4 linked regions of the Rhinolophus ferrumequinum genome follow. The protein of the gene in region 3 purifies or fractionates together with the protein of the main gene of each other region. This does not show direct contact. Links are inferred from orthologs where the notes say so. Each region holds a gene or a part of one and is shown on either strand. Other genes may lie near its edges.

Region 1 (7,892 bases), on a different chromosome or scaffold from region 3:
CCCATCGGGTCACAGCGGGCGTGGGGCGGGGCAGTCGGCGGCCCAGGCGGGTCTTGGGTCTGAGCCTCCGGGCACTGACCCGGGCCTGGCTGTGTCGTAGGGGGTCTTCCTAAACAGGTCAAGCTGAAAAAGCCCTCGAGGCTGAAGACCCTCGATACCAAACCAGGTGTGTGCCCCTCGGGCTGAACACCTCCTCTCCTTCCAGGACCCCCGTGGGGCGGGGGCGGGGGCGGAGAAGGAGGGAGGCCCCTGGGACAGGTCCGCAGCTCTGCCTCCCGCCAGGCCTCTACACCGCGTATACGGCCCACCTGCACCGCGACAAGGCGCTGCTCAAACGGCTGCTCGGTGGCCTGCAGAAGAAGCGGCCGCCAGGTGCACTGGCCGCACTGCTGCGGACGCACCTGCTGGAGCTCACGCAGAGCTTCGTCATCCCACTGGTGAGGCCCAGGGCAGGCAGGGTGGGGCAGGGCTGCGGCCCCCGCTCACTGCCCTCCCCCCGCAGGAGCACTACATGGCCAGTCTCATGCCCCTGCAGAAGAGCGTCACGCCCTGGAAGGTGGGCTCCCGGTCCACGTGGCCGTCGGGCAGGGGCTGGACGCAGGCGGGGAGTGGAAGGGTTCCTGTCCCGATTCCAGAGGAGGGAGGTCGTGGGTGTGCAGGCGCCCCTAGAGCGCCAGGTTTCCCCACCCGTTCCGGACGTCCTTCCAGGCCAGAGACGTGGGGACTCGAAGTTCCCTCTGGAATCTGTCCCAGGCAGGGTGGGAGCCGAGGAGTATGACTGGGAGGGTCCTGGCTGGCGGGGCGGGGCTAGCGAGGCTGTGCCCGCTCCTCACTCAGCCTCTGTCTCAGGCCCCTCCCCAGATCCGCCCCTTCCACCAGGACGACTTCCTGCGCAGTCTGGATCATGCGGGGCCCCAGCTCACCTGCATCCTCAAGGGTGACTGGCTGGGCCTCTACAGGTGGGTGGACAGCAGGCAGGGCCCCGAGGCTCCTGCTGCTGGTGGGTGCAGGAAGCCTGTGCCCACCCCTTGGCTCAATGGATCAGCCCCACAGCCGCTGCCTCTCGTCACCCACAGGCGGTTTTTCAAGTCCCCCCATTTTGACGGCTGGTACCGGCAGCGGCGCAAAGAGATGGCGCATAAACTGGAGGCCCTGCACCTGGAGGCCATCTGTGAGGCGGTAAGGGGCGGGGGCGTGGTCACAGGCCCAGCGCTGGGCCAGGGCCTAGGTGATGGGTGACCACGTCTTTTCATGACAGGACATTGAGACCTGGATGAAGGACAAGTCCGAGGTGGAGGTTGTGGACCTGATCCTGAAACTTCGGGAGAAGCTGGTGAGACGCCTCCTGGCCCTGCCCAGCCCAGGCCAGAGGACATGGAAGTTGCCTGCCCCTGACCACCACTGCCCCTGCAGGTGCGGGCACAGGGCCACCAGCTCCCCGTGAAGGAGGAGACACTGCATCGGGCCCAGCTGAACATCGAGATGGTCATCGGCTCCCTGCCCAAGGACCTGCAGGCCGTCCTGTGCCCCCGCTAGGACAGGCCGGGGGGCAGGGTCCAGGGCCTGGGTTTCCCTGGGGGCCTGGGTCTGGCCAAGCTTCCTTCTCCCCAGTGAGGGGCAGCCCCAGCCAAGCATGAGCTCCCCAAGGCAAGCTCCCTGCTGCTTCCTGGCCTTGCCCCACTTCCCAGCACCACTACTGTGCTGCAGTAAAAGTGGCATTTGGAGCCACAGCCTAGCTCCTGACTTGCTGGCAGATCCTGTGTTGGCTGGAGTCTCACCTCCCCCTGGGCCCCACCTGCCCTCCACAGGGCTGCAGGCTCGGGGGCGGGGCTGGCTGTGAGCCCTTGCTGATCTGGGCCTGGGCCCACCGCCCCCTCCAGGCACCCATCTGCCCCAACTCCCTGGGGCCCCGCGCGGTGCATTTGATGTCCTTTAGTCCCACCAGGCTGCCCAGGCCAGGACTGGAGGAGGCAGCTGACAAGCAGACGCCTCTCCTCACCCAGCCCATCCACCGGCTTGCCCTGGGCTGGGGCTGCCTCACCTACGGCGGCCGCTAGGGGGCTGTGTGATGGCCTGGCGACGCGCCAACCCTCCAGAGCATTGTCCCGTGCAGCCCACTGGGCACCATCTCGGCTCCTACTGCTCCACCTTGCTTCTCAGCTGACAGGCACTCGAGTTACCCCGTTATGGGCATCCACCCTGACGTGCAGCCTGAGCAACTTTGGACTCTAGCCCAACCCCCCCAGCCCCCAATCTCAGAGGTGATGTACTCCCCAGCAATGCTGTGTTGCCACCAGTGCTGTCAACGACAGCCCAGGGTGACAGCAGTGCCAGCCAGTGGAAGGGTGGGTGTGAGGTGTGACCCCGAGCTGTGGGCCTGCTGTGAGTCTCCCAGCCTCCAGCCTTCAGACCCCTCATCATATGGGGGGTGTATCCTGTAGCTGTCTGACCCGTGAGGCCTGCGCAGGGTCCTGACACAGGGAGTGGGCGTGGGTGGGGGGCTGTCCCTTCTCTTCCCCACTCAGCCCATACCCTGGATGCTGTGCTCACTGTTGCCTCCACTCCTCCCCTGCTGGGCAGCAGCCGGTGCAGGTTGTCTGGGCTGACCACGGCCTAGGACAGCCTGTCACTGTCCCCCTTCTAAGGACAGCTGAGCCCAGCTTGGTGCAGGGTCCCAGGACATGACAGCAACTAAACAGAACACAGCAGAGGCAGGCAGAGGTAGTGGGTCCGTTTTTGGAGAAAGAACAAGCGGGAGGCCCTGGAGTGAGAAAGGCTCCACATTGGCCCCCAATGCCACTGGGTGGCCTGCCCCTAGCTGTCTGTCTGGAGGGGTGGTCCCCCCCAGGGTGTCATCTCCAAGGGGGTCTGTGACAACACCAGCACCTTCCTTGTGACTGGCGGGCTCTCTGACCTCCACAAGAAGGGGCTGAGTGGACAGACAGTGGAGACCTTCTTACCGTAACCCCTAACCCTAACTCCACTGGCCAGACGCATTACCAGGCCTGGGCCCCCCTCACCATTACAACCCCACCCGTGAAGGGTACGCCCCAAACCTCACTCCAGCTTGTGCTTGCCATACTGGTTATCTCACTTGCCTTTCTAAGGGCTCCTGTGTGTGAAGGAGGGCTGGGGGCGGCACAGGATTCAGGGCAGGGGCTGCAAGGTGGCCTCCACGAAGCCACCATCAGTACAGGAAGGCACAACCAGATTCCCTTGGTCCTGGCGTCCTGCCCCGAGGACCAATGGGGGCAGAGGTTTGGGGGAGGGACACCGGGCAGGGTGGGCACCGCTGTCCAGGGTAGGATCCCAGGCTGAAGTGTAGAGGTGGGAGGAAGCCTGTCCCCTGGAGTGCCTGGAACCGTGGAGCTGTCTTCCTCATGCCTGACCCCCTGAGCAGACAGAAGCGCCTGGGGGCTACTCCATCCTCTCTGCCCAGAGGCTGCTTGTTCTTTCCCAGGATCAGGTCACCTCTGACTTGGCTGAGCTCTGACCCCCGCCACAGGGGTTTGGAGGAAAACAGGCAGATGGGTTAAAGGAAGCAGACCTGCCCCCAACAGAGCCCCGCGGGCAGGGGGCCTGGAGAGGCAGGGACCAGTTGGTCCAAGAGGGTGCTGTGCTTAGCCCCCTGGGGCCGCCGGAGATTGGAGCGGCTGTGTCAAAGCCTGGTTGAGTGGCCCCGGGTGGGGTGGAGCTGGGGCTGGGGTGGAGGTGGCAGTCGCTGCTCCAGGGGACAGGAAGGACAGTTCACCCCCAAGCTTCCTGCGTGCACTCTATTTAAAGATTCCCTTCTAGTGGGGGATAGTGGCCTTCCCACATTTTGGTATTAAAATGCCCTATAAAGCACAATGCTTGTGTTTTAACTTCCTTTTTGATGAAAAGTTGGCATCCCTGTCAGACACTGGTAATTTTTGGGTCCCTTGCGGTGGGGACTGGGTGGGTCATGTGGATGTGGTTCAGGGCTGAAGGGGTGAAGGTCTGGCCTGGCTGGTTGGGGTGGGAGGGCTGCTGAGACGCTGACATAAGTAAGTGACCTGGTTCTTGAGCATTGGGGGTAGGTCTCAGGGTCAGGGGAGCGGAGTGCAAGGAGGGGACAAGTCCCAGTGTGTGGGTATAAGTTGGGGTTTGGGGTCTCCAAGCGCTGTGCTGCTCACCACACCCGGTTCACTGACCACACTAAGGGCCAGTGGGAGCACGTGACGTCCCCACCTCTTAAGTCCAGGAGGCCCCAGGGCAAACTGGGAGTTGGAGTGGCAGAAGTGGAAGAAGCTCAAGTCCAGAGCTGGCACCCCGGGAAAGGCTCAGGCTCACCCCTACCTCCAGGGCTAGGTGGTCTTGGGTGCGGGTCCCCAGAGGCCCACAGGTGGGGGAGGAAAAGGGGAAAAGCAGCACAGCTGGGGGGCCACGGATGAGTTGTTAGGACACTCGCAGGTGTCTTTCCCCTAGGAGGTTGGGGGTGCTGAGGTTTAAGGGAAGGGGTCAAGGCCCAGCAGCCCCCCACCCCCGGAAAAGGCAGGGGTGTGGCCGGCCTGTTCCCAGTCGGAGGGTGGGGGTACCGGTGCCCGACCCGCCTCGGAGAGAACCGGCTCCGGGGTCCTCTGTCTGGAGCTGCGCAATCCCCTGGTGCTAAGGTCTGGGCTCCCCTGTGGCCCGGGGCGCTCCCGGGATGGTAACCAGGCCGAGGGGCGATCGCTGCCCGGCGCAGATGTGGGTCGGAGCCGGACTGAAACTCCTCCGCGCTGCGGCGCACCCACTGCGGGCGGGGGCGCTGGGGCACGCGGGGAGCGCCCAGTCGGCCCCGCCCTCCCTCCCCCTTCTCCCGCCCCTCCCCCTCCTCCCCTCCCCCTCCCCTTCGGGGGCGGGGCCACTCTCTGCTCCCGCGCTCCGGCCCCTCCTCGGCCACACAAAGGCCCGTCTCCATGGCAGCCGCACGGGCCGCAGCGCAGCGCCGATCGAGGCTCCGGCGCCATCGAATCTTGGCGGCTGACTTGCAGGTACCGAAACCGGGGTACAGGGCCCCCGGAGTGGCCACGCTGGTCGGGGGGCTTCGCCGTTAGCTCCACTCTGCCCCTGCCTTCCGCACTCGGGGTGCGGGGATCCGGGTAGCTGCCGCTCCGCGGAGGGTGACTCGGGCCTCGGCAGCCGTTTGTGTGTCCTTTCGTCAGGGCCGGGCCGCTCCTGCCCCACGCCCTTTTTAGTGATCCTCGAGGACTGCGGCGCCGGGGGCGGAGGGTGAGCGGGCCTAGCCCAGCCGAGGGTCCCCAGCAGGGCGCTGCGCCCTCTCCCGCCGCCCAGGTCCCTCTGGAGCCTCTCGCTCCCCTTCTGGTTCCCGACCCTCCCTCCTAGCCTATCCATGCTCCCCATCTCTCCAGCCACCGAGATCCGTCCCAGGGCGAAGATAGTCCCTGTTGTGCAAGAGCTGCCGGCACTCACCCCGCCCATCCACCCAGCCTCGGTTCTAGGGTGGCCAAGCCCGGCTTTCCCCAGGGGGCTGGACCTTCGGTCAGGCCTTGGCAGCCCCCGCACCGCCTGGGGTTCCTTGTGAGGAGGGCCTGGGCTGCGCCTGGAGGGCTGGAAGGTAGTGCAGGGCGCCGGCTTGGGACTAGGGGAGCCAGCACCAGTTCCTGGAAAATCCTGGTGTCCTGGGGTCTGCTTGTTCCCAGGGTCGCTGGGACAGGTGCTGTTGTAGTTGGTTGGTGTGGTGTTTGGGTAGACACCTTGGGCCCTGCCCCTCACCCTCTGGCCTTGCACCCTGGCATGCCTCTTCCTGCAGGAAGCCTTGGATGGGCCTTTCCAGCCCCTCTGCTCAAACTGCTTGGCTGATTTGCTGGGGGTGGTGAGAGGGGGGTCTCTGAGCTCAACAGCCCCAGAGCTTCCTGCTATGTCGTTGGGCTTCTCTTCCCAGCAACTTGGAAAAGGAAGGGGTCTGTCCCCCTGTGCTCACCATGGCCTGTGGTGGGGGTCATCACTGGGGTGGGCTGGGCCCCAAAGCTGGTGGGATGTTCTGGGGTCTGAGGGGCTCTCTGGACCCTTGCCTGCCCTGGGGTGCTCCCTGTTTCATGTCTAACTTCAACCCCTGCTACCTGCCCACCTGGGGCTGCACCCTGTGGAGTGAGAGAGCAAGGCAGCCCAGAAGTGAAGACTGTGAGCCTGGCATGGAGGGCAGAGCCAGGGGATAGTCTGAGTTGGGCAGCTGGTGAGAGGGGCCGCCCCCTTCTGCCCTGAGGTGAAGGGCCGCATGAACCCCGCTGGGCCTGCTGGGGTTTTTTTGTGGCCTGACAGCTTTCAGGAATTCCCAGAGAAGACTGAGCAGAAGCAGGTAGGCTTGTACCTCCTCCCTCCTCTTGCCATACCTTCTGGGGGCCCCCTCAGTCTGAGGGGAGGCCTGAGGCCTGGCCAGGAGTTCCTTGCCCCAGGAAGGGAGGGAAGTCACTGAGAAAAACAGGGCTTGGAATGTAGTCCCCCTCCCCCGCCGGCCGCCTGCCAAGAAGGAATTATTTTGGATTATCCAGCCGTGTCCAGCCACCCAAGAGGGGAGGCTGCAGCCTGGGAGAGGGATCCACTTCCGGAACCGTGGGTTGAGAGCGTCCCAGAAGGGAGGGATGGGCAAGTCCGGGCAGCCCTACTCTCCTCCCCCGAGACCGGTCGGGGGCGGGGTTGGAGGGGATGTGTCACCCTGGGGTTGCAATACGGCCCCAGCAGGCCCTGCTGAGCGAGACTGGGGAAGGCTGAGGCTGTGGGGTAGGAAGGGCCCTGGGCCTATCCATGGGGTCCAGCTGGAGGCCACCCTCCAGAGCCAGGCTCAGGGACACACCTTGGGTGCCTTACTCATACCTGATAAGGTGTGCGGAGCGGGTGGGGTGTGACTGAAGCTGCTTAGGATGGGGCATTGGGCTGAAGCTCAGGCTTGCCCCCTGACTGGCCCACTGACCAGTAGCTGACACACAGCCTCCCTCTAAGTACCTCTGATAACCCAGCTCTCACCCTGCTCTCGCCCCCCCCACCCCGCCATCCCCCCACCCCCCTACCCCCCACCCCCGTCCATACAGCCCTTTTAGCTGGTCCCACAGTTGAGGGGCTGGGGCCCTTAGTTGGTCCCTGGGAAGGACCATGGGGGGCGCTGCCTCTGCCAGGTGGACTCCCTGGGTCCTTGCTGTGTGTGCCCGCAGCCATGAGCCCGGCACCCCTGTGGGGACGCCACTGAAGAGTTCTGAGCTGGCAGCTGGGTCTGGGATGGAGTGCAGGAAGCCCAGGAGCCTGGCCCCAGCCCAGGGGAGTGAGGGGAAGAGATTGGATTGGAAGGCACTGGGGTGGGCTGGCAGCCTGGGGAGGGGTCCATATGGCACATAGCTCCTCTCCCCCTAGGAGGGCTAGGTTGCAGGTACTTGCGCCATCCCAGGACCAAGGCCATTCTGGGGACATCATGGTATCCTGTTCCCTAACTTGTGCCCACATCCTGGGGCCAGACCGATGCCCCACCCTGGGACGTTAGGTGTGGCAGGGGATACCTGGTGGGGAGAGGCTGTGGGTCCCAGTGTCCCCAAGTGGCCCCTTGGCTGATTTGGGCAGGGCCCCACTGAGGCGCCAGGCCCTCTGCCATCTGTGAACAGGAAGTCCTTACGCCTGTCATACCACAGTCCTTCTTGCTGCAGCAACAACAGCCCCCCCCCACACCCGCCGTAGCCTCTTGGGTGGGGAATAAGCTTGTGTTCCCTGTTGAGGAGCCCAGTAAAGCTGGGGGCCAGCGGTGGAAAGAAGGAGGTGAGCTAGGGAGAGGTCCCCCACCTGCACTCCTTCTGAGGTGGAGGCAGGTTCACTAGTTGGGGGTGGGGGCTGGGTAGAGTCCCTCTGCCAGAGGCTAATGGCTACTTGTGTTTGGGGTGGGGGTTCTC
Region 2 (7,549 bases), on a different chromosome or scaffold from region 3:
CAGTGGCAATAATACAGCTCTTGGATCTCCAATCATGGCTCTACTACTTTATATTGATTCAACAAATATTTATTAAATACCTACGGGACCAAAAACTGCTTTAAATACTGGAGAGATAGAGATAGACAAGACAAAGACACTGCTCTCAAAGATCTTAGGGGAGTGGGGGAAAAACCCATACATTGGAATTGGCGTCAGAATTATAGGGAGACAGGAAGTAAACAGGTAATTAAATGAGATTGTTTTTTCAGTTAATGATAAGCTCTAGGACAAAAATAAAGAGTGATTCTGGATCCAGACCTATAATAAATGCAGACTTCTCAGAACCCACCCTCCCCCAAAAAAAGAGTGAGTGACAACTTCTAATACCACTTCCTCATGGGGATGTAACCACCTGCTTCTTAGAGATGAGGACTGTCAACCACTTGGCACACAGCATCTGCAGCATTTATTTACCTGCACACATAGAGAGATGCTCACAGATACACACACACACACACACCTTAATGGCACTATCTGTGATAATCAACCTTAGTATGAAATGAGAGCAGAAGAAAAACAAAATATTTGTGAAATTTAATTATACTTAATGCAATTACATCACAAATAACTGCATTCATCAAGAATCTGTAAAAAGGCAAAACCTAAACAATTCTAAGATAAAAGGATAAATAACAGTCCAGATCCTGGGTTAATAGCAGGAGTATTAGAGATAATATTACAAATAGTAACATGGCTACCTTGCCCACTTTGCAGGACTGCCATGAAGAGCCACATTATTTTTCCGTACAGTAAGGCTCGGTGTCCGAAGCTGGGTTTAAACTCTAGTGTTCAGATTTCTTTGAGAAAAATAAAAGACAATGACCAAGTCCTTCTTAGAGTCACAAGATTTTATACCTAGAATCAACTTTAGGAAACTCTCTGTACACTCTCCCCACTTTACCAATGACCAAGGTCCCCAGAGGTAAAGGGTTAACCTAACAGTGGAATAGCCAGTGATGACAGAGCCAGTGTAGGGCTAGCCTTTTAGATTTTATCAGAACCACAAGGGATGGCAGTGACTTCCAGAATTCAATTTCAGTTATTGTCCCTAAAGACTTCAGTGAGTTGCACCTATGGCAGATTGAGGATCTTTACTGGTGGCCAGAGATTTGTCTTCAAGCAGGAGAGCTCCCTCCTTGAGAAAGCTGCTTCCAACACTATAATACATGTTACTAGGAAAATGATGCAGCTAGCCTGAAAGGGGAAAGATACCTTTCAATTGTAATTTTCAGAGTTTCCCTCAGGAAAAAGGCGCCCAATAATTATATCTGGGAAGGGAGCTGGAGAGACCAGGTATGGGAACTCCAGAGAGAAAGGAGCGAAGAATTGTGTCCAAGATATTTACAAGAGAATGGACAGAGCCCCCGGGCTGTGAAAGGGACGCAGAGGAGAAAGCAGCTGGGCCCAAAGCAAGCACTTGACCACACCCACAGGCCACGCCCTCCCAGCTGCCAGCAGAGCCACATCGAATTGAAACAGCAGTGAGAGCAGTTAAGATTCCGACGGCAGGAGTCGCCATGGCAACGGGATTCATCTTGCAGGCAAACTCCGCTTCAATTCACTAAGTCCTTCTCGAGCCTCAAGAAACTACCAGCTTAATGGGAGCAAAACTGTCACGGGAGGCATTTACTGTTGATGCTCACCTGGGGGTGGAGATGGGAATCAAGAGGGCGGGGTTGGGAGAAAGGGAATGTAGGTAGCTATTCCTGGGCCCACTAAAATATTTTATGAGGGCAAGAGGCAGAACACCCCAAACCCAGGCTGTGAGCAACTTGAGAGCAGAGCCATTAGCAGGGTTTGATGAATGAGTAGGCGAGCGAACAAGAGGGGCAGGGGAAGGCAATCCAGAGGGCTTTATAGAGTTCTCGGGCCTCGTGCACGTCTCCAATCGGAGGGCAAGTGGATCACAAGAAGCTGGATTTTCCGCATCAGCTGGGAAAACCCGATTACCCAGGCTGCCTGCCCCACAAGCGAGCCTTATCATTAGATTATTTGACACCCCACCGCTTTACCACCTCCCAACCCAGGGCTCCGGGCAGACGCTTCGCCTCAGCTCAGGTGCTCTTTGTCGAGGGAGCAATCAGTGCAGGGGGGACCAAGATGCGCCCTCCCCGGAGGGACTGGGGGCAAAAGAGCTCTGAGGCTCCTCGAACCCGGTCCGCAGGAGGCGCAGCCTCCCCTCGCCGCTGTGCGCCAACACCCCTTGCTCCTTCTGCAACGCGGGTTTCCCCTCCTGCCCCTTTTGAAACCTCCAGCTTACAACTTTGCCTGAATTACAGTCACCCCACCCCTTTCGAATGAAGCGTGAAGTGAGGGTGTCAGGGATGGTGGACGTTCGGCTCAGAGTCCCTCCTTCCTGGTCGCCACCTCCGAATCCACCAAGCCTGCCTCAGGATTCCTCCTCTGCCAGCAGCTCCCGACAGCAGCAATGCACGCAACCCGCAGCCGAGGCCACGACCCCCAGCGCCCCATCCCCGGGGTGCCTGCAGCAAGACGGCTGTACCTGGTACCCTGCCTGCTCTCTTGGCATCCGAGCGCCTCTGAAAGAAAGGAGGGAGGGACCCTCATCCTCTGGGGCGCCTTCCTCCGGGCTCGCAGTGCTTTGCGCCGTGCTTGCAGCCATTTTTCCAAATCCAGCTTGGCAGCCCGGAGCTGTCTAGGTCCTGTTCGCACCCAGACCTAACCTGAAGGACGGGTTTAATATTTACCTACTGGCCCGGGAGCTCCAGGGAAGCAGCGGGAGGGCGCGCCGCAAACCCAGAGCCCGGCCCGAAGAAGCGCGCCCACCCCCGCTCCACCGCTTGGTGCCACTTAATGAATGAGTGCGGCGGGCGAGGCGGCGCATCCCCCTTACCTGAGCAACCCCTGCATGCTGGAAAGGCGGCTCTGCGCTCTGGGTACAATGGGACCCGGTTAAACAGTTTCCTTCACAGCCGCTCGTAGGTTACCAACTCGCAGGTGACATCACCCTCTCCTCCGCTGATAGGATACAATGTAGCGCCCAGTGCGCATGGACTCCCCAGCCTGGCCCATGGACTCCTGGTAGTTGTAGTCCCAATACCGCAAGCAGAGCCTGGATAGCCACGCTACCGAGGTTAGCACAACTACAATTCCCGACGCATTCCTCGGCATCTTCGTCCCCGCCCCTAGTCCCGCCTCCGCCGGGACACCCCGGCCCTCCCCTCCTTGCAGCCTTGCAGTGTTAGCGGTGGCGGTGCAGAAGCTAGGCTGCGGGCTGCGCGGGCTAGAGACTGGGGGAACCCTGCCGTGGTGCTATTTGACTTGACCTCCACTCGTCCCTGTGAGAGCTCTGAGGGCCCCGAAGCGTCCGGGGCTAGTGCGCACCGGCCAGGCACCTCTGACCAACCCTGCTCTGTTGGCCTCAGCTGAAAAGAGACGATTAAGTCTCTCACTGTCTTCCCTACGCGTAAACTAATTAATAGGACGCACGGGTTTCTGGGTTAAATGCGGTCCTGGAATTCCCCCAAGCCCCAGAGGATGAGGCGAAGCCGACCCCGCAGGAGAGAAATCCCCGCGTGTCCCACTTCGTACAATTCACCTTTCTGTGTTCTCTTTCCTTCTGCCATTTAACGGAGTTCGCGGGGAACAGCTTAGTTGGCTGAGCTGACAGAATAACGGAGGCTGTCACTAATAAAAATGCAGAATAGACAAGACAATCGCCGCAGCCCTCCCTCAGGGAGCCTGCTGCTGCTGCTGCTGCTTCTGCCGCTGCAGAGATAATACTGTAGCGCAGCCATGCTTTTGTTCTTTCCTGCAGTGGACTTCCCGCTCTGATGGCTCTCAACTCCCAGGAAGACATCTTTTCCTAAAGTTTTAATGACATATATACGTACACATGTACTGCTAAATCCCTAACACTCTCGCCTCATTTCCCATAGCTTTCTCTTCAAATATTTTTTAAATGACCTAAACCAAACAACAGCGTGCTATTCAAGAATTGCCATGATCTTAATACACCTAAATGTTTAAAGGTAAGCAAAAAGTGTGTATCAGAATTCTGAACCTTCAGGAAGATTTCATTTTTAATACAATAATATTAAATAATAATAATAATAATAATAAAATGTTTCCGTGGCATTTTTCATTGTTCAATGAATACCAAATATTATGAAAAAATGATCATTCAGAGCAAATCTTAAGCTGTTTTTTTAAATGAAAAAAAATCAATGCATCTACATAATTATTCCAGTGGCAAAGATAGAGTACATTATAATGGCATTTGATGTTGCAATCACGTAGAAGGATCAGCTCACACCCCTATTTCTATTAGCAAATCTCTGGAAGACTACATCTTGTGAAAAGAAAGTTCACAATTAAAAATTTTAAAGAACTCTCCATCTAATTGTTGGTGGAAGTTTTTCTTATCACTCTTATTTTCTCATCTCATTGTGGAACAATATCTTGGGTTCAAGAGAAAAATATTCATGGAACTAGTTGAGGATCTCAGGGGAGACGAAAATGCTTTGTTCTGCTGAGAGAGGTGTTTTAGTGTTGAATTCTGATTTTCATTTAACAAGCTCATTCCTCATATACTAGACACATTTTTCCCCACTGAAAGAAGATAACTTTGAACGTTGCTCTCCTGTTCTGAGCTATCCCATCCATTCCAAATATTATCTTAAACAGAACCCAGACAACACAAATGTTCCATTGGCCGTCAGATCAAGAGTACAATCAGTGATATTCTAGCTAATGGGTAAGCTTAATGTATTGCAGTTCATTGTGGGAAAATATTCAGAAAGTAACTTGACCTGGGATGATTCTAAAAGCTCTCCTAGTTTTATAACTGTGTAAAGCTTTAGATGGGAATATAATCAGTGAGCCTGAAATTTATTGAGGCAAATTGGGTGTGGAGATTCTCCATAAAGCAGGGCTCGTCCTTACAGATAAAAGCATATTATTGAGGCACACTCTGAGGACTAACTTTACAGGACAAATCAGCTTACGGCAAGTTCTCTTGGGTCTTCAGCAACAAAGGAGAGGATGGCATCTGCCTTTAAAAAAAAAATCTAATCTCTGTAGCAATTAATATTATAGGGATATGTCATGTTACATAGCTCATTTCCATCTATAAAGGACATCATACACAATAGAGTAGAAGCACAGGAATGTGTGGATGTGCATGTGTGAGCTTCCTCCCTATTAAATAGATATATAAATATAGATAATAGATATTGAAGGCAAGGCATTATGTTTGGAAGCATTTTGCTATAAGTGTGATGGATTTGAACAGATCCCTGCACACTGTTTCACTGGTAACCAGGGGAAACAAAGATGGCTCTTCAGCATCAGAAATGCAGTCTGGATCCAGAAGAAGCTTAATTTCTGTGGAGACAGAAGGGATCTCTCTCTCTCGTTCTCTCTCTCTCTCTCTCTCTCTCTCTCTCTCTTTCACACACACACACACACACACACACACACACACACTCACACACTTATGTTGTGTGTTTGTATTTAGTTCTTTCTAGGTGACTAAGTAGTCTCATAAGCTATCAAAAATACCGATCTGTCTAGCTTAATCTATAATATTCTCAAAGGATTTCTTTAGGATTTTTCTTCTTTTCTTTTTAAATGACTGCTGCTATCCTCAAATGAGCTTATACGAAAGGCCTCGTCTTGTCCCATAATCACTGCCTATTAATTAGGAACCTGTGGGACCACTGAGAACAGATTTAGTTGACCTGCAGGTAGAGAAGGGGAAAGGCACCATGGAGTATTTTGCTGATCTTTCAAAATAATCTCTCAGTTCTGATTACAAGGTTTTACTCTAGCTGTTGGGTTTTAGATAAGGGAAGAAATGAGACATCAACAAAGAAAGAATTTTATGTTTGTAGCCTGGCATGTGTTTTCACACAATAACTTGGTGTTTTGCAACAATTGAGGTTATATGCTTGAGACCAGGTTTGGGGTCATGCCATTTTACCACTTTTGAGCAATGTGACTGCTCATTCTCTCTGAGCCTCAGTTTCCTTATTTTAAAAATGGGGTTAATAATAAAACCTATTTCATGAGGATTTTGAGGATTAAATTATACTTGTAAAAACACATTTCACATTGAAAGGTAGTATACAAATGCTAATTCTTGTTATCATTTGCAATTTTTCCCTAAAGATTATCTCAGAAATGTCACCCCTAATTATGGAAGAAGTTAATAAAGACCTATTTGAATTTAAAAAATCTTATTCTTAACAAGAAACTATGAGAAATTATACGGCACGCACATATTATCTCACTAATTTGTAAGTAGGCAAAATGTACTTTGAAGAAACGACTGAGAAATCCAAATTGAACAGTGCTGGTTCTTGGCTTGTTTTCAGATTTACACCTTGTCCTTCCGCAGTGCCCCAAGCTGTCTTCAGCATCATAGGCTGTCTTCTCCAAGCTTCTCAGCATGGAGAGTTCTGCTGGGAGATTGGAGGCTGGAAGGAGGGAGAAGCCAGGTTATTTCTCCACCTCCTCAGAGTTGCACTGGGTGATGTTTCTGGCAGCATCAGCAGTATTTCCTCTGTTGGACTGGTCTGTCGTGATTCCAGCATCTTTTGGATCACCCCAGCCTTTGTTAACACCACCTTCTCCCTTTTTCCCTCCAGCCTAAGGGTGGAGGTAGCTTCCTGCTGTTGCCAATCTCTCACTGCATGTTTGTCTTCTCAGACCTTCTATCACCCATGAGACCAATTCCCTATACTATATCATATCTGTTTTAAATACTCAGAATGGTTTTCGTTTTCATGGTGGAACATATAACTGATACACTTACGTCTTAGTTCAAGTTATTTTGTGGGCAGGCAACACAAACTTTCTATGGCCAGTTTATGCAAAGGAAGGAAGGAAGGAAGGAAGGAAGGAAGGAAGGAAGGAAGGAAGGAAGGAAGGAAGGAAGGAAGGAAGGAAAGAAAGAAGTAGGATTTATTCAAAGGATTGAGCAACCAAGGCTCCATCTAAGAACAGGTACCAGACCAGCTCTCAGAACCTAAACAGTGGTGGGTTTTGAACCTTTTAGCTAGCTCATTACTCTAATAGTCCTCCATCTCGGTGTCTCTGTCTCTCTGTATGGTGTGAGATGGGTACTAGACTTATCAGGGTGATCACTTCGTGAAGTATATAAATATCTAATCACTATGTTGTACACCTGACACTAACATAATATTGTATGTCAACTGTGATTGAAAACTAAATTTAAACAAATTTTTGACAGAAGCTGATTGCCCTGTCTTAGAGTGACTTTCTCTAACTTAATCATCTTCATATGCCGTGGTTCTTAAACGGGGGACCCCAGTAGCCTCCGTATCACCTGAGAACTTGTTAGAAATGCAAATGCTTAAGCCCCACCCATAGACCTACAGGAAAAGAAACTTTAGGGCTGGGTTCCACAGTCTGTGTTTTAACAAGTCCTCCAGCTGATTCTGACACATAAAATTTTTTGAAACCACTCATCTGCAGCAAAGATTACAAGATCGTATGGCTCAGATATGATCACTCAGGATCT
Region 3 (7,910 bases):
AGGTGCAGGGCAGCCTGCCACTAAGCTCTTGGGAGACACATGTCACTACTTTGCAAATGCCTGTGGAGATGACACCATCACCCACATTCTCCATGGCCCTTTACCTGCACCATCTCTGATCCCTGCAACCTTTGAAAGTTGGTACCAACCCATTTTCCTGATGAGGACACTGAGGCCCAGAGAGGGGAAGTGACTTGTCCAAGGTAACGGACAGATGGCTAAAGACAAAGCCAGGTCTTTCTGGTTCCAGAGGCCAGGTTCTGTCCCCAGACACTTGCCTCTCGTGAGGTCACCAACTCTAGCCACTGGTGGGAGTGACCAGGAAAGTTCCCCCCGCTCCCCCCCTCGATTTCAGGGTGTGGGGTTGGGCTGCTCCTCTGGCTTGTAATTGTCACAACCCTACTCTGGAATGTTATCCTGGAGACTCTATCCGTCTACACCTTCTGTTGTGTTCTTTGAACCCCTAGGCATGGTCACTCTCTGCCCATAGAGCCAAAAAGCCCTTAACCTTATCTGTTGAGCTGTTCTCAGCCAGAAAGGCAGGGCCGAGCCTAGGCTGGACCAGGGTAGAAATGACTCAGGCTTGGGTTTGCCCTCATGGGGCTCACAGACACACAGTTGGATCATTCCAGGATGGGGGACGTAGCTCAAGAGAGGAGAGCGGGGCTTCCCTGGGCAGCACACCCATGGGAGTCCCTGTGTGGAGCGGGAAGACTCAGCTGGTTCGGGAAGGCAGGGCTGGCACTCCCTGTCCCCTCCCACCTCCCCTGCTGTGGGGCCCCTAGGCTTTGGCCCTGTGGGAATGGTTGCTGCCCCAAATGTCAACCAGGAGTCCTCCCGCCTCAGGAGCTCTTTCCACTCTGCTCCCCCTGCCCTGAACCTGAATTTGGGCCAAAGCCAAAGGTTGTTGAGGCCCCTGCAAATCCCAGCCTGTTCTCTGCTCTTTGCTGCAGGCATAAGCCCTAGGGAGATGGGGCCCCAAGTCTCCTTGCTCCTGGCTCCCTGGGCTTGGTGGGCTGCCAGGAGGGGAGTCCAGGGACAGGAGCAGGAGAAGGCTGGGTCCAGCAGGCCGAGCACTGGGGGCTTTGGAAGGTGTCTTATCGGGGGAGGAAGACCTGGGTTCTAGACCAGCGCTGCCACTGCTGGGCCCTGTGCCCCAACGGGAGACTCTGTCTCTCGCCTCGGTTATCCTATCTGAAATGAAGGCCTTTCCAGCTCTAGGACCTTGTATTTCTTTTAAATGAAGAGGCCTCTCTTGTGCCTGGAGGCAGAGGGGTGCCTGGGAATTCAGGATCCCCAAACAGGGAGGAGCCCAGACAAAGCTGCGCCCACCTTCTTGGTGACAAGCATGCCTTCCCTTTCCCTGGCCAGCTCCAGTGTGTCCCAACACCCACATTTCGTCAACTGCGTGGCAATGCCCACTTCTACACTGTAACCTCTTTGAAACCAGGGTCTCACCATCAAGGCTGTCTCAGAGCCCAGGACACTGGTGGTGAGGCACCACCCCTCCCAGCCCCTCTGCTGGGCCCCACTGGCCTGGCCCCTCCGTGGTGCTCTTCCCAGTGTTTCATAATTGTTGGGTTCCCAAGGGCAGCATCTGGGGGCCCGGAAACACATCCCCCACAACTTAAAAAAAATGTGACTGGCCAAAGGAGATGACATCAGCTCCATAAACCACAAAAGACTCAGCTCAACGCTGTCACCGGGGAAAGAAAGTTCCGAGACTGTTACGAGGGTTGGCCTCTCCTGCCTCCCTCATCAGACTCCCCAACGCCTGCACAACCCCAGGGGTTTGTAGGATGCTGGCACAGGTAGGAGGGAGAAGAAGTGTTGGAAGCAAATCCATGGTCTCCCAGGAGAACTAGGCTGAGAGGGGGCATGGGGTGGGTGGGTCCAGCCCATTCTGGTACCTGGTGAGTCCGCCTGAACAGTCAGTAAACATGCTAGTGAAGGACCGGTGGTCAACATGCCCTGAGCACCAAGGATGTGCCAGGTACCACGCGGGGTCATCTGTCAGCCTGACTTTAATTCTCACCAGCACCCTGGCTCTCTCCACCCCAAAAGGTGTCAGGAAATGGAGGCTCAGAGAGGTTAAGCAAGTTCCTGAGGGCCACACAGTTTGTTAGAGGAATGCCAAGGTACCAATCAGCTGTCTGACTTGAGTCTGTTTCCCTTACCCTCCAAGGCAGAGCCCATGGGATGTCCGTGTCAGGGGCAAATCTGGGGGAGAAGAAATGATGTTTCTTTCCCAAGTGAGTCCTTCCTGTTACAGGTTCTGAGCTGAGTATCTGACCTGTATTAACTCACTCTTCACCGCGACACTGGGAAGTGGGCACCATCATTATTCCTATTAAGCAGTCAAGGACACAGGCACAGAGAGGGTAGGAGACTTGCCCAAGGGTACACAGCTGTAAGTAGCAAAGCCATCACTTGAACCCAGGCAGTTTCCAAAGTTGTCAGTCCCTTTTAGCCATGCTGTGCCACCAAGTGTTCCCTTAGGACCTGCCACTACCCAGGTTGCCAAAGTCAGTCCCTGTGACACCTCTCCCAGGTAGGTGCCTTTCTCCAAGATGATATCATTGAGGCCCTCACTCCCGATGGCAGAGCGAGAACTGCCACTGACCCCACGCTCTGCTGGGAGACGTCTCGGGAGGCCAGCGTGGGCACACATCCTGGGCAGCTCCGGCACAGACGGGGCACACCGGGCGCCCGTGCGTAACCGTGACCAGGCGGGGATGCGTGCACAGCAGTGGGCGCCGTGCCCGGAGGGCTGCGGCACTCACCTCGGGGAAGGCCCCTTCGGCGAAGACCATCAGCAACGACGTCTTCCCGCAGCCGCCGTCGCCCACCAGGACCACCTTGACGGACCGCACGCCTGGCGGCGCCTCCTCACCCGCAGCCTGGGCCGCCTTCATCGCGGGGCCGGCCGAGGGGCCGGGCGCGCAGCGGCGTCCGCCCGGGCTGCGGCGAAGGCCGGGTGCAGGGCAGGCCCGGCGGGGCAGGAATGTGGAAGGGGCGGGGCGGCGGGAGGAAGTGCGAGCCGGGCTGGGGGCGGGCAGGGGGCGGGCGGGTGGCCGCCGAGCCCAGGTGAGAGGCCCGAGCCGGGATCCCCGCGCGTGGGGCGGCAGAGACGTGGCGGCAGGGCTCGGGCCCTTCCCCTCCCGTCCTGTTTGGCCACTAAAGAAACATTTCTTGAGCACCTACTGTGCGCGTGCACTGAGACCACAGAAGCGGGGGACCCAGACTCAGCATCCGGTCCTCAGGAGGGCACTCTGGTCTGATGGGGAGGAGACAAGTAGCTGGACAGCGACAGTGCGAGTAGGGGTGTGGACAGGGAAAGAGGGGGCACCTGGCCCATTTCCCCTGGAAGGAGGGAAGTGGGGGTCAGCCATGTTAGCCTACCAGTTTGGTGGGATCAGGGACTGGGTTCCAGGTGCCCAGTGGAGCAGGAGCTGGTGACTTTTGATAAAGAAAGAGAGGGAGGGAGGGTAGGAGGTACCAAAGAAGGGAGCAAGTAAGGAGGGAAGGAAGGAAGGAAGAGAAAGAAAGAACATGCATTTTCCCCAGGGCTCTGGAGACCCAGGACACCACCTTCCTCCCTCCAGGTGTTTCGGCCGGGTAGGAATGGGGTGACGTGGACATGGCACTGCCAGGCCTGGCCTGCCTTCCCACAGCCAGCACCAGGAAGTTTCGCTGCAGGTGGGTGACCACCTGTCTCACTTCTGGCTGGAGCATGATCTGGGGAAAGCAATGGAACCTTCCATCGATAAACTGCTTAGATCAAGGTTTGGTACATGCTTGATGCCACGTATGAGTGATCCTTATTATTTAACCAACACTGATGGTTCCTCTGTGCCCAAGAGCCTGGGGGACCCTGAACCATTTAAGAAAAAGTCCCTACTTTGAGAAGCCCGTGCCTAGAATGGGAGATGGGCGGGTATCGGCACGATGAGAGCTACAACAGAGATGACACAGGACGGCTACAGGGAAGAGCGGCCCCTCACTCAGGTTTGGGGGAGGCCGTGTCAGGAAACCCTTCTGAGAAGAGGGGCTACTCTTGAAGAAAAAGTGAGACACAGACGGGGAAGGGGAAGGGTGTTCCAAGCTGAGGGAACAGCACACGCAAGGTATGGAGACGAGACGGGGGTGCTTTGGGGTCACAGTCCTTCCCCAGGACAGAGGGCAAAGTGGGTTGGGGAGCCAGTGCCGGGGGTGAAGCTGAGAGTTAACAGGCCTGGATAATGGAGCACTTCGGATGCCAGGAATTAATACAGAATGAAGTGGAAACTCACTGTCGCCTGACCTCCCACCCCTGGTAGCAGCCAGAATTGAAATCTTTTAAAAATGAGCACAGGGGCCTCCCCCAGTCCTGGACTGAGTGTTTTTGTTGAAGCTCAAAGAAAGGGGGCAGAAGTCTTTGGGTTTCACATTCCCCCACCCCCTTGCAGGTCATGATATCATCTACATAGAGTTCAAAGCTGGACACCTGAAAAAACCCCCTCAGCCCCCTTTGAACTTCACTGTGGCCCAAAGAGGCAGCCAGGGCAGGAGTCACTGCCCCAACGGCAGAGGCAGAGCTCAGACCCCTGACTCCTCTTCTACGCTCACCCAGGACCCCAGTCATCAGGCTGAATGAAGACTCACCTGGTTGGAACGAACATCCCAGGACCTCCCCACCCTTCAGGTGCCCCTTCCTCCCCGAAACTGCCACAGGGCTGGGCAGTGACTTAGAACAGGACTGGGTGTGTCACCACTGAGCAGGGATCTCCGCCCCAAGGAGTGGTGGGGAGGGCCCCAGCCCCCAACGATCAGCTGTCAGACTCATCATCTTCTGTCCTTGCCACTGTTGCTATCATCAGGCTTTGGGTGGCAAGGCTGGGAGGCAGGTGGGGGTGGAGAGTCAGGCAGAGGCATTTGGCCTTGTTTGCTATGGGGATAATCACCTAATGACACCCTTGATGTGTGTCATGCTTTACAGTTTCACTGAACATTTCGTAATAATAACAGTGTCCATGAATGGATCGTTAATCCTGTGCAGCAGGACCTACTGTGCAGCACCTACTGTCCCCTAGTAGGTGGGGATTGTTAGTCCCATTTCACAGAGGAGAAGCCTGAGGCCCAGAGAGGTTAAGTTCTTGTCTAAGATCCACAGCTAGTAAGAGGCAGAATCCTAATTTGAGCACAGGTCTGGTCACAAAGCTGGGCTCTCTCCTGACATCACACCTCATATACTTTAGTCCATTCAGACCTCAGATCTACTGATGTTGAACCCCAGCCTCATACCTCTTGCAGAAGCATGAGCATAGATAGAGCATAGATTGGGGCCCGGAAAAAATCCATCTTGGTTGGCAAAGAATTTACCCAAATCCCAGACATGGCTGGGCCCTGGATGGCACTGTTTTCCTGGTGTTTATTTTGGAGTGGGGAGGGGCCCAGGTCACAGTCAGCCTGGCTAGGATACTGTTTACTGTTGTACTGTTTTCTGTGGCTACAGTTTGCCGCCAGCCTGTGGGTGACTCAGCCCTTGGAGATCCCACTGGTCCCAAGCCCAGAGTCCTTCAGAAACCCTGCCCAGCGGGTCACTACCCCAAAGACCCTAGAACAGCAGAGGTGGCCAGGTTGGCCACCTGTGCCTCAGGATGTTATGTCCAATTGAATGCCTTGCTGGACAAGTGGGAAAGGAAGGAAAATGAGGGAGCAGGGGAGAGAGGAAGGAAAGAAGGAAGGAAGATGGGCTGACTGAAAATAACAACAAACTGAAGAAATGAATAAAAGAATAAACCATTGCATGGATGAATGAATACAGCCCATGACCTGAGTGCGGGGTCAGCAGACAGGTGAGCACCCTCCAGCCTCCATCTGCTCCAAGGCTCCCCAGCCCTGGGACCCTCTGCCCCATTTTCTGACACCCCACCCCCATCCTCCCTGAGGCCCGGGAGTCCCCTGCTGTTCCAACCGAGTCTCTGCTGCCCCCGTGTGGCTGCTATGCTCCCTACACCAAGGGCAGCCCGCTCTGCTTGGGGTTCTGGCTCCGGGTGTGGGGTGTTTATGAACGGCTGAAGCAGAAGGAAAGTGGGTGCCAGGGGGTGGAACTTCAGAGTCTAGTCCTGCCCTTTGGATGCTTTGGCTGCGGACACAGGCCTTTTGCTCCTCTTGCCTCCCTACCCTCCCTCCTTCCCTTTCATCCCAATCTGGTGGATCCCAAGAGCCGGAACGCCACCCAAAGCCTTGACTTCACATATACTGAGCACCTAGTGTGGGCCAGACACGTGGCGTGTGTCATTTATTCCATCCTATGAAGTGTGTATAATTCTTATCCTCTTTGACAATTGAGGAAACTGAGCCCCAAAGAGGACAGATAGTTTGCCCAAGATCCCACAGCTGATAAGTGGAAGAGCTGGGGTTCTAACCCAGGCATTGGGGCTCTAGAACCCATATACCCAGAATCCCCAAAAGTAAGAGATGCGAGGGGCCTTTACAGGCCTTCTTGTCCAAATGCTCCTTCTTCAAATGGGGAAACAGAGGCTCTCGGGGGGGAAGGCACTTGTCTCACAGCGAGTAAGCAGCAGGCCCAGGTCTATGGCAGGCAGAACCCAGAAGAAACTCTTCTCAAGTTTCTTTCTGAGGCTCCCCAGAGCAATTTGATTGGAGCGCAAGCCTGGGGACGCAGGCCTCCTGCCCCTGCCTCCTCTCCCTGCCTCACCATCCTTGATCCTTCTGGGTAGGATGGGAAGATTGATTATGGGGCGGGAGTGGGTGGAGAGCGAGGGAACCCAGTGGCCCAGTCTCAGTGTTTATTTAGCTTGTTGGTTTGTTACTTCCGGTGTCTACAGGCATAGACAACCACAGGCAGAAAGAGGAAGTGAAGTCTGAATCTGCTGTCAAGTGTGGATGATAAAGTAGCTGATCCGGCTCCTCCCACATGCAGGCCTGGCCTGGCCAATGCCGCTGGCCAAATCAGCAACCTCCACACCTGTCCTTTTGGGTGGAGCTCGGCCTGTCCCCGAAGGCTCCCAGACAGGGGGCCTGGGATCCTTGAAGCAGGCCCATGGGCCTGGGGTTGGAGGAGGGGAGAAATGAGGGATGGGAAGGAAGGGGCAAAAGAGATGGAAATAGCTCAATTTGGACCGTGCTGAATGAACCTAAAGCCTGAGGGCAGCTTGGACTGCCCCTCACTGACCTAAAACAGCCTTATGTCCCCCCTTGTCATTTCCAAAGCTGCTTAGAGTGTTCCCCTTCCTGCCTCCCTTCTTCTCACTTGCTCCTGCCCAGGACCCCTCAGTGGCTCCCCATTGCCAGCTGGACAAGGACCTTCAGCCTCAGCCTGGACACAAAGCCGTCCCAGCTCAGCCCTATCCGGTCTCTCCACACTCAGCCGGCTGTGTGGCTCCCTAGACACACGCAACGCTTGTGCTGGCAGTTCCCCTGCTTGGAGGCCCCTCTCTCTCTTCCATGTGTACGGTCCACCCGCCCTGCAAAGCCAGAGCTCATGTTTCCATCTCCTCTGGGAAGCCCTCCCTATCCACCTTTACAGGCCCCTGCAGCAGCCTGTCTCCCTGGTGTTGGGGGAGGGGGTTCCACAGAAGCAGTTCACAGTCAGGCCCTGGGGTGGCCAGGCCTCCTGGGGTATGCTGGGAATTCCCACTCAGATTCTCTTCTTCCCATGTTTACTGTGACCTTCCAGGAGAGGGCAGGGGGAAACCAAAGCAGCCTGGAATCCAGAGGGCCTCCTCTGCTGCCCCTCAGCCCCACCCTTGAGGAATTGAGGGAGGGTTTGGCCTAGTGATTAAGAGGATGACCTTTGGGGGTAGCTGATTAGCTCAGTTGGTTAGAGCATGGTGCTAATAACAGCAAGGTTGCTAGTTTAATCCCTGCATGGGCCCTTATGAGCTGTGCCCTCCTTAAAAAGA
Region 4 (6,896 bases), on a different chromosome or scaffold from region 3:
CTATGGTCTCTGCTCCCAGGCTAACTTCAAACCGGTAAGCTTGATGTGTATGTGTTGTATATATTGGGGTTCTGTGAAGAGTTTTATTTAGGAAAAAAACCTGTACTACGGGAAGAATAGTTTGAAAATCAGTGTTCGATGTTATTTTGCATAGATCAGAGTTCCTCAAAATACTTCTTTATTTTGTAACCTCCCTGCTTAAGATCCTTATCAGTTACTATTCCATCTCACATTCAAATGTGTTCACAGAGTGGGAAAACACTATGGGGATAACCATGTTTCCTACTATTATTCAACATCTATGTTCTCACCATTCTAGTTAAGCCTCACTGGCCCCTCAATGTTAGTGGTCAGTATTGTTTCCAGGCTATTCCATATGTTGTCTTTTCCTTACTTCCTTTCTTTCCTTTGCCTATTCAAGTCTGATTTCTGCTTCATAGTTCGGCAGCTCAAGCTTTACCTCGTTCTTGAAAACTTTATTTATTCTAGGCCTAACTAATCTGACCCTTTTACCATATTATGTTGAATTATAGTCAGTACCTCTGAGTTAGGCAGCTAATTTTTTTCTTACTCTTTCTCACATTTGTCTTCTTGTTTGTTTTCTCAACTAGATTTTATTCCTATTGATGGTAGAGATTTTATATTTCACAGTTTGTCCCACTACAAGTGTTCATGTACCGTGAATAGCGCATTAGCGATCAGTAAATAGAAGAATGAGGTCAAAATAAGGTGGAAGTTCAGCTGGTTCATGTATGAATTTTATTTTTTTTTAGTTAATCTTATTGGGTAACAGTGTGTATTTTCCAGGACCCATCAGCTCCAAGTCAAGTCGTTGTTCCTTGAATCTAGTTTTGGAGGGTGCAGCTCAGCTCCAAGTCCAGTCGCCGTTTTCAGTCTTTAGTTGCAGGGGGCGCAGCCCACCATCCCATGCGGGAATTGAACCGGCAACCCTGTTGTTCAGAGCTCGAACTCTAACCAACTGAGCCATCTGGCCGCCCATCATGTATGAATTTTCTTAGCATTTTCAGTTCTGAAGTGATCAGGAGCAAGCTTTCTCACAATTAAGGAGAAGTCCTAACAATATATGAAGACTTTAAGAAAAAGAAGCAGAAGGGAGACACAGAAAGCCAGAGGGAGACTATAAGGATCGTCAGGAACCTCTGAGGAAATGAATGGGTCTAAGGTCAGTTTGAAGAAAGCTAGAGGCTAGCAGCCTTTTATCTTTCTGTTCTCCCAGAGCCAGTGTTTTAATGTTGACCCGGGTGCTACATTCCTTAGAGGCCAGAGGGAGAGACCAAAAGGTCAGTGGGTCTAACATAGACTTTTGATATCCCAGCTGATGGTGGTAGCCTCCTTCTTTCTTCAGCATCAGAGAAAAGATGGCCCTCCATCCTCCAGCTTATTTGTGTGTCCCAGGAAGGTAATCATAAAGGAATGCAGGTGCAGTCAGATCAGCTCTAGGACTGCATCCCTGAGGCGCCTGGTTCATAATCAGTGGACAAAGTGTCCTTGTGGGAGAGGAGTAGCTCCTTCCAGCGTTAACTTCCAGGACAGGCCCATGACCCAGATGCCTGAGGGAAGGGTATTTGTTTGTTAGTAATTACTGTTTGCATTAACTGGGGCAAAATGCTGAAAAACAAACAACAAGAATTAAGACAGGGGCTGTGATAACCACAATAAAGTCCAAAGTAAGCCATATTAGGGCCAGAGTTTTTCACTTTTTGCAGTAAAGATTATGCATGTTTTACATGGACCTCTATTTTGATTTTAAATGTAGCTTTGCCTGGTCTGAGGATGGTGAAACCCAACCTTACATTCAAAATGATGTCAATCCATTTTTAAGTCTATTTACATACTCCAAACAGAAGTCTTTGTGTTACAATGTCTTCCCCCCTTTTAAAACCACACCAATGAGACCTACAAGTAGGGACCTTCATGATCAGGAAGCTGCTTATCTGTTCTGCTTCTTCTCTGGCCAACAGCAGGCTCTCTCCTCACCCCCCAATTTCTTAACCAGAGGGTCTCTGTACATGCTATCCTTATGTTGTTTGCCTGGCATGCTCTTCACCCTCCTTCGGTACCTTGTAATTACTCAATACATTTTTGCTTAATATCCTTCCCAATAGCCAGAAAGTTCCATCAGAGCAAAGTATATCTGTCTTGTTTACTATTATATCCACAATACCTAGCATAGTACCTAACACTCAGTAGGCTGTCAACACATACTGACTTGAAGTAGACTCTTAAGCCAATAGATTGAGGTTCTAAAGGGCAGAAACGGTGTCAGCTTCATCCTTCTACCCTACCACCCTCTGTACGTCACTTGGTATACTCTAAGGAGCTAAATAAATGTGTACTGAGCAGATTATTGAGCAACATTTGAGCTTTGAGAACCCTCAGCCATGGCCTACACCCACATCTGTCAAACAGGAATTACGTGAAAGCATTGCATACAGGTCATGTCTTTCTGCAGCATCCATTTTTATGCAACTTTTCAGGAGAGGAGACATTTAAGTAATTTAAATAGTGTGTGCATGCACGCACATGTATAGTGAGTGGAAAAAAAACTATACATCAAATTTTAAGTCAAAGAGGAACTTCAACAAAACAAATTTACCTTAGGGCTCCTTGCCCACCCTGCCTGGGAGCGTGTATTCCCTCTGCTGTCCCTGGGTAGTTTCCCAGCTGCATGATTAAAAAGTTAATGACAAAGCTGGGATTAAAACTGTTTTGATATCTAATGTGCTTTTCACTCTACTGTCCAAGTGAATTGCCTCATCACGCCTATAGCACGGTCAAATTTACCCTAATGATGTTTATGAACATCAATAAATATGTTCATAAACAAATTAGATTCAGCAGAGCTGAATTTAGGTTGAAGGGCAGAAGGGCAAAAGGAGTCATAGCCCGAAGATACATGAGTAAGAGGTATATGGACATGTTTAGAGACTTGGTTTCTGAATTTATACTTCAGGTAGTTTCCCTTGCTCTCATTCTATGATGGTGGTGCATTCAAATCACCCCTCTAAATGTTCTCAATGTGGGCATTATTTTTAAAGCGCCCCGTTTAAAAAGATGGCAGAAATCTTGTGCGGGCCTCTTCCTGACAAGTCGAGGACTAGAGAGTAACAATACGGGCAGTGCCCTGCTGCAGCTGTACAAAAAAACACCTTGCATTTGTCTAAAGAGTTATATTTTAAACAAAGTTTTGACACACATGATCTTATTCACTCCCCACAACGATTTAAAGTAGTTCCGGGAGCTGAAAACAGCAGTCAGTCCAATTGTGAGCTCTCCACAGGTGCTCTGCTTGAAGAGCCTCACTCCCACCCCCTTGGGGATTTAAGCGGTGGGTGCCTGCTACTTCTGCTGCCGAGCAGCGTGGGAATCAAGGAACAGCCGTATTTCTTTGGCCGCAACGCCATCATGGCAACAGAAAGCACCCACTCTTTCCACTGTGAACCGTACAGTCTGTCTAGGCAATTAATCAGCGCTCCCCGTGGTGCTTTTCCTATGGGATGCCAGTTGCCTTGCCAATCAACCCCACCCACAGAGCGCAGCAGGGCCACACCCCCAGCATGGCCTCTGCCAGGGAAGGTGCTCTGGCCTATGCTAGTGGAGGCTGAGACTCAGGTACACCGGCCCCTGAAACGCACACGTGAATCCTCCCGGGCCTCAGTTTCGCCACCTCTAAAATGGGCTACACCCCCTCTCTCTGGACGAGTTCCCTGCCATTTCACGCTAGGCCCCTAGGAAGTGAAATCAGTGCTTAACCGCAGCTTAAAGTCCTCTCGTTGGGCTTCGGGTCCTGCGCCGGGCATGCTCAGTAGCTGGGGCCGACTTGGCCTGGGGAGTAGGAAGCAGCTCTGTGCGCCCAGGCGGCTGACTGCGGGCACTTTGATGAATCACGGGTGTTGAGGCCCTCTTAAAGAGATAGGCACCAACTTTCTCCACCCTAAACACCGCCCTGAGGGCGGCGGCGGCGGTCGTGATAATTGCAGCTGCTCTCAGGGGCAAGGCTTGTCCCAGCGCCGAGTAGAGGCAACGGCGTGTGGCGTCTGGGGTGCCGGGGAGCCCGGACTCCCGGGGGCCTGAAATCGGCAGCTCCCTAGACAGACACTCCCCCTCAGGAAGAGGTGCTGCCGAATCAGCGCGGGGCAGCGGGACCGCCCCGAGGGGCTTCCTCAGTGGAGGAGAGGTGGGGTTACAGGGCACAGGTGACAGGGCCGGAGAAAGATGGAGCAGCCCGGGGCGGCGGCGTCGGGAGCGGGAGGCGGCAGCGAGGAACCCGGTGGGGGCCGGAGCAACAAGCGGAGCGCGGCGAACCGGGCCGCCACCGAAGAGGAAACGAAAAACAAGCCCAAATTGGTGAGTGCTCCCGCAGCCCCCGCCGGCCTTGGGGACAACGAGAGCCCCGGGATCCTCCTGTCGTTGAACACGGGGGGACCCGGGGCCCCCTCCCAAGGGTCACCGCGACCTCGTTGTGCAACTCGGGGAGCCGCTGAAGGAGCGGCCACGCCGAGGCGCGGAGACGGCGTGGGGGCGGAAGAGCACCCGCTTCTCTACCTAACCGGGTTCTTACTCTTGTCAGCCCGGGAGGCAGTGCGGGGTGGAGAAAGGCCCCACCCCAACTTGGGGAGACCCGGAGAACTGGATGGGGTCTTGTTTGCCTAACTTGTGGGCACCAGCCTTCTTTCCGCGATTCCATTCCCCTCCCACCCCTGTCAGTTGCTGGGTTTTGCGTCTTGAGCGCTTAGGGTCCGGACAGGGAAACCTCTCTTCTTTGCAGCCCAAGTACTTGGGACCCTACCCACAGACGGGGAAAAAAAAAATCCTATAAAACAAAAAGACACACAATGTAGGCCCCCAGTCTTTCTACTTTAACAGAAATCTAAGGGAGAGGCGCCTACGTGCGGTTTTTTTTTTTTTCTTTCCCCTCCTCGCTTCTCCATGTGCTCTCGCAAGAAACATTTCTTTGGAAGAGTGGGGGGAGCGTGGGAGTTGGAGGCTGGGTGAGGTACCACCAACTGTCGGGTAATAGGCAGAGGCGTTCAGTACTTGCACTTAGTTGATTAAGAGTGCTCAGAAGCAATCGGCTGACTACAAGTCTCACCGTCCTGAGAGTGTGAACGGGTAATAGCAGTCTATTTCCTGCCACTGACTTAATGTTCTGAGGAATGAAATCTATGGGGCCCGCTATTGGATTGGGAAATACTGGAGTTTCCTAAACTCATCAGTTAAAAGGGTTCCTCTTTTTTTGGTAAAAACCTTCTAAATCGGGTGGCATGAGGGGAAACGGTTTTCATGTACAAATTCAGCAGATATTTGACTCTGAACGTTCTTGGTCTAGCTCTGAAGCACAAGCCACATGTTGCTCATCTAGTTTTCAGTTTTAACCAGCGACTTGATTATAATTAGGAAGGAGACGGTGGTTTTTAACTCAAGCCGTTTCTTACGGCATCTGTCCATTTGGCGTGTACCTGTTATACTTCCCGCTCTTGCCTCCTATTTGCCTTTAAATTATGGACCGTCCATATTCGAAAAAAGTGGTCAAAGCATTATATCTCGTTTAAGGAAATATGCAGCCTTCCATTATGTGGGAAGGGACCTGGTTGGGTATAATAAAATGACAAGTTTAAAGTCTTATCAGTTCCACCCTAACTAGAAGCAAATTTTGGATATACTTACTTGATGTGTCCTACTACGGCAGTATTTACAAGTGAAGAAACTGAGTCACAAGGTCTTTGTGAATTGTCTATGCTGGGTTTAATGGGTGCCCTCCACCATCATGAAACAGAAAAGTTTTGTGAGTGTATCATCAAAGTTTATTTAAAAATTCTGATGTTGTGATTTTAAAATTTATCAGTTTGTGTTAAACGATTGATCATATTTCCTTTCCTTTTTTTTTTGACCCAGCACAAAACTGTGGTTTAAACCGTGATTAAAAGTTTAAGCAAAAATAATAGTGAACTGGTAGTTTCCACCAATAGTTTGGTACATCCAGCAAGAACCTTTCACTTAGGAAGTGTGTTCTCAAGAGAAAGCACTTATCTCTGTCTGTTAGTAAATAAGACCTTGATTATAATCTTCCCTTTCCTTTGGTCATTTGTCCTGTTTCGTCTTTTATGTTTTACTTGCTTTGACAAGGTAACTAGATAGTTATGAGCTGGTATCAGTTTCGGTTCCTAGCTAACTTGTGTTTGGTGTTGAACATAGCATGATATAGTAGAACGAGTATTTGGATTCAAGAGTTTGTTACTATCAGTGGGGAATTCTTTGTTTGCTCAAATACAACTTTTGAGCCTTACGGGATTTTATGAGCAGAAGTGTCAGAGTTAATAAAAGCAGATTTAGGAAGACGGTTCAGCACTCTTTAGACATTTCAGCACTTTTTAAGGCAAGCATGTTGACCAAACAACCAGACCTAGTAAACTTTCTTTTTTTTTAATAAATGCCTTACTCCCTATTTTGACTTGTCTTATTGAAAAACTCAGCATTTTCTTCTAAGGTCTTTTAGAGAAGACTTCATCTGGGATTCGTAACTTAAAATATTGCTAGTAAGATAAAGCTTTACCTAGATTAAATTTTATTATTTTGAGTATTATGTTATTGATCAGTATAATAGTCATTAATTGTGTGCACGTGCACACGTGTGGGTTTATAAAAGAGCCATACGGTAATAGAAATTATTTGTGTAACAGGTGATTGTGGGGCATAGGGGTTCTTAAACTCCTGAAATTGTATGAAAAAAATTGAGTGTATATAGGTATGTGCATTTTTCTGGATCCCATAGCTTTCGTCAGTGTTTTCAAAGGCTCTGTCACCTATAGAAGCATAAGAACTATTGGGTTACCAGAGAGAGAGAGAGAGAGAGAGAGAGAGAGAGTGTAAAGGAA

Evidence for each region.
Region 1: the proteins of RHOD (region 3) and PLXNB2 purify together in Homo sapiens (affinity purification with mass spectrometry; 3 studies listed by BioGRID and IntAct, counting the BioPlex papers as one, with this or other methods). This does not show direct contact. The link is inferred for Rhinolophus ferrumequinum from reciprocal best matches to the Homo sapiens genes RHOD and PLXNB2.
Region 2: the proteins of RHOD (region 3) and DAAM1 purify together in Homo sapiens (affinity purification with mass spectrometry; 3 studies listed by BioGRID and IntAct, counting the BioPlex papers as one, with this or other methods). This does not show direct contact. The link is inferred for Rhinolophus ferrumequinum from reciprocal best matches to the Homo sapiens genes RHOD and DAAM1.
Region 4: the proteins of RHOD (region 3) and DIAPH2 purify together in Homo sapiens (co-immunoprecipitation; 3 studies listed by BioGRID and IntAct, with this or other methods). This does not show direct contact. The link is inferred for Rhinolophus ferrumequinum from reciprocal best matches to the Homo sapiens genes RHOD and DIAPH2.

The regions. Positions count from the first base shown.
Region 1 is NC_046293.1:397,478-405,369, forward strand, and holds the start of PLXNB2 (plexin-B2), read left to right. Parts: upstream 1-4,887; 5' UTR 4,888-4,994; intron 4,995-7,892. Other genes in the region: protein DENND6B, read left to right, coding at 101-166, 283-437, 503-601, 850-959, 1,077-1,179, 1,259-1,333, 1,414-1,536.
Region 2 is NC_046289.1:35,264,328-35,271,876, forward strand, and holds the start of DAAM1 (disheveled-associated activator of morphogenesis 1), read right to left. Parts: upstream 3,010-7,549; 5' UTR 2,897-3,009; intron 2,727-2,896; 5' UTR 2,666-2,726; coding exon 2,546-2,665; intron 1-2,545. UniProt on the Homo sapiens protein: Binds to disheveled (Dvl) and Rho, and mediates Wnt-induced Dvl-Rho complex formation. May play a role as a scaffolding protein to recruit Rho-GDP and Rho-GEF, thereby enhancing Rho-GTP formation. Can direct nucleation and elongation of new actin filaments.
Region 3 is NC_046294.1:5,069,869-5,077,778, forward strand, and holds the start of RHOD (rho-related GTP-binding protein RhoD), read right to left. Parts: upstream 3,009-7,910; 5' UTR 2,916-3,008; coding exon 2,784-2,915; intron 1-2,783. UniProt on the Homo sapiens protein: Involved in endosome dynamics. May coordinate membrane transport with the function of the cytoskeleton. Involved in the internalization and trafficking of activated tyrosine kinase receptors such as PDGFRB.
Region 4 is NC_046284.1:58,164,046-58,170,941, reverse strand, and holds the start of DIAPH2 (protein diaphanous homolog 2), read left to right. Parts: upstream 1-3,883; 5' UTR 3,884-4,236; coding exon 4,237-4,368; intron 4,369-6,896. UniProt on the Homo sapiens protein: Could be involved in oogenesis. Involved in the regulation of endosome dynamics.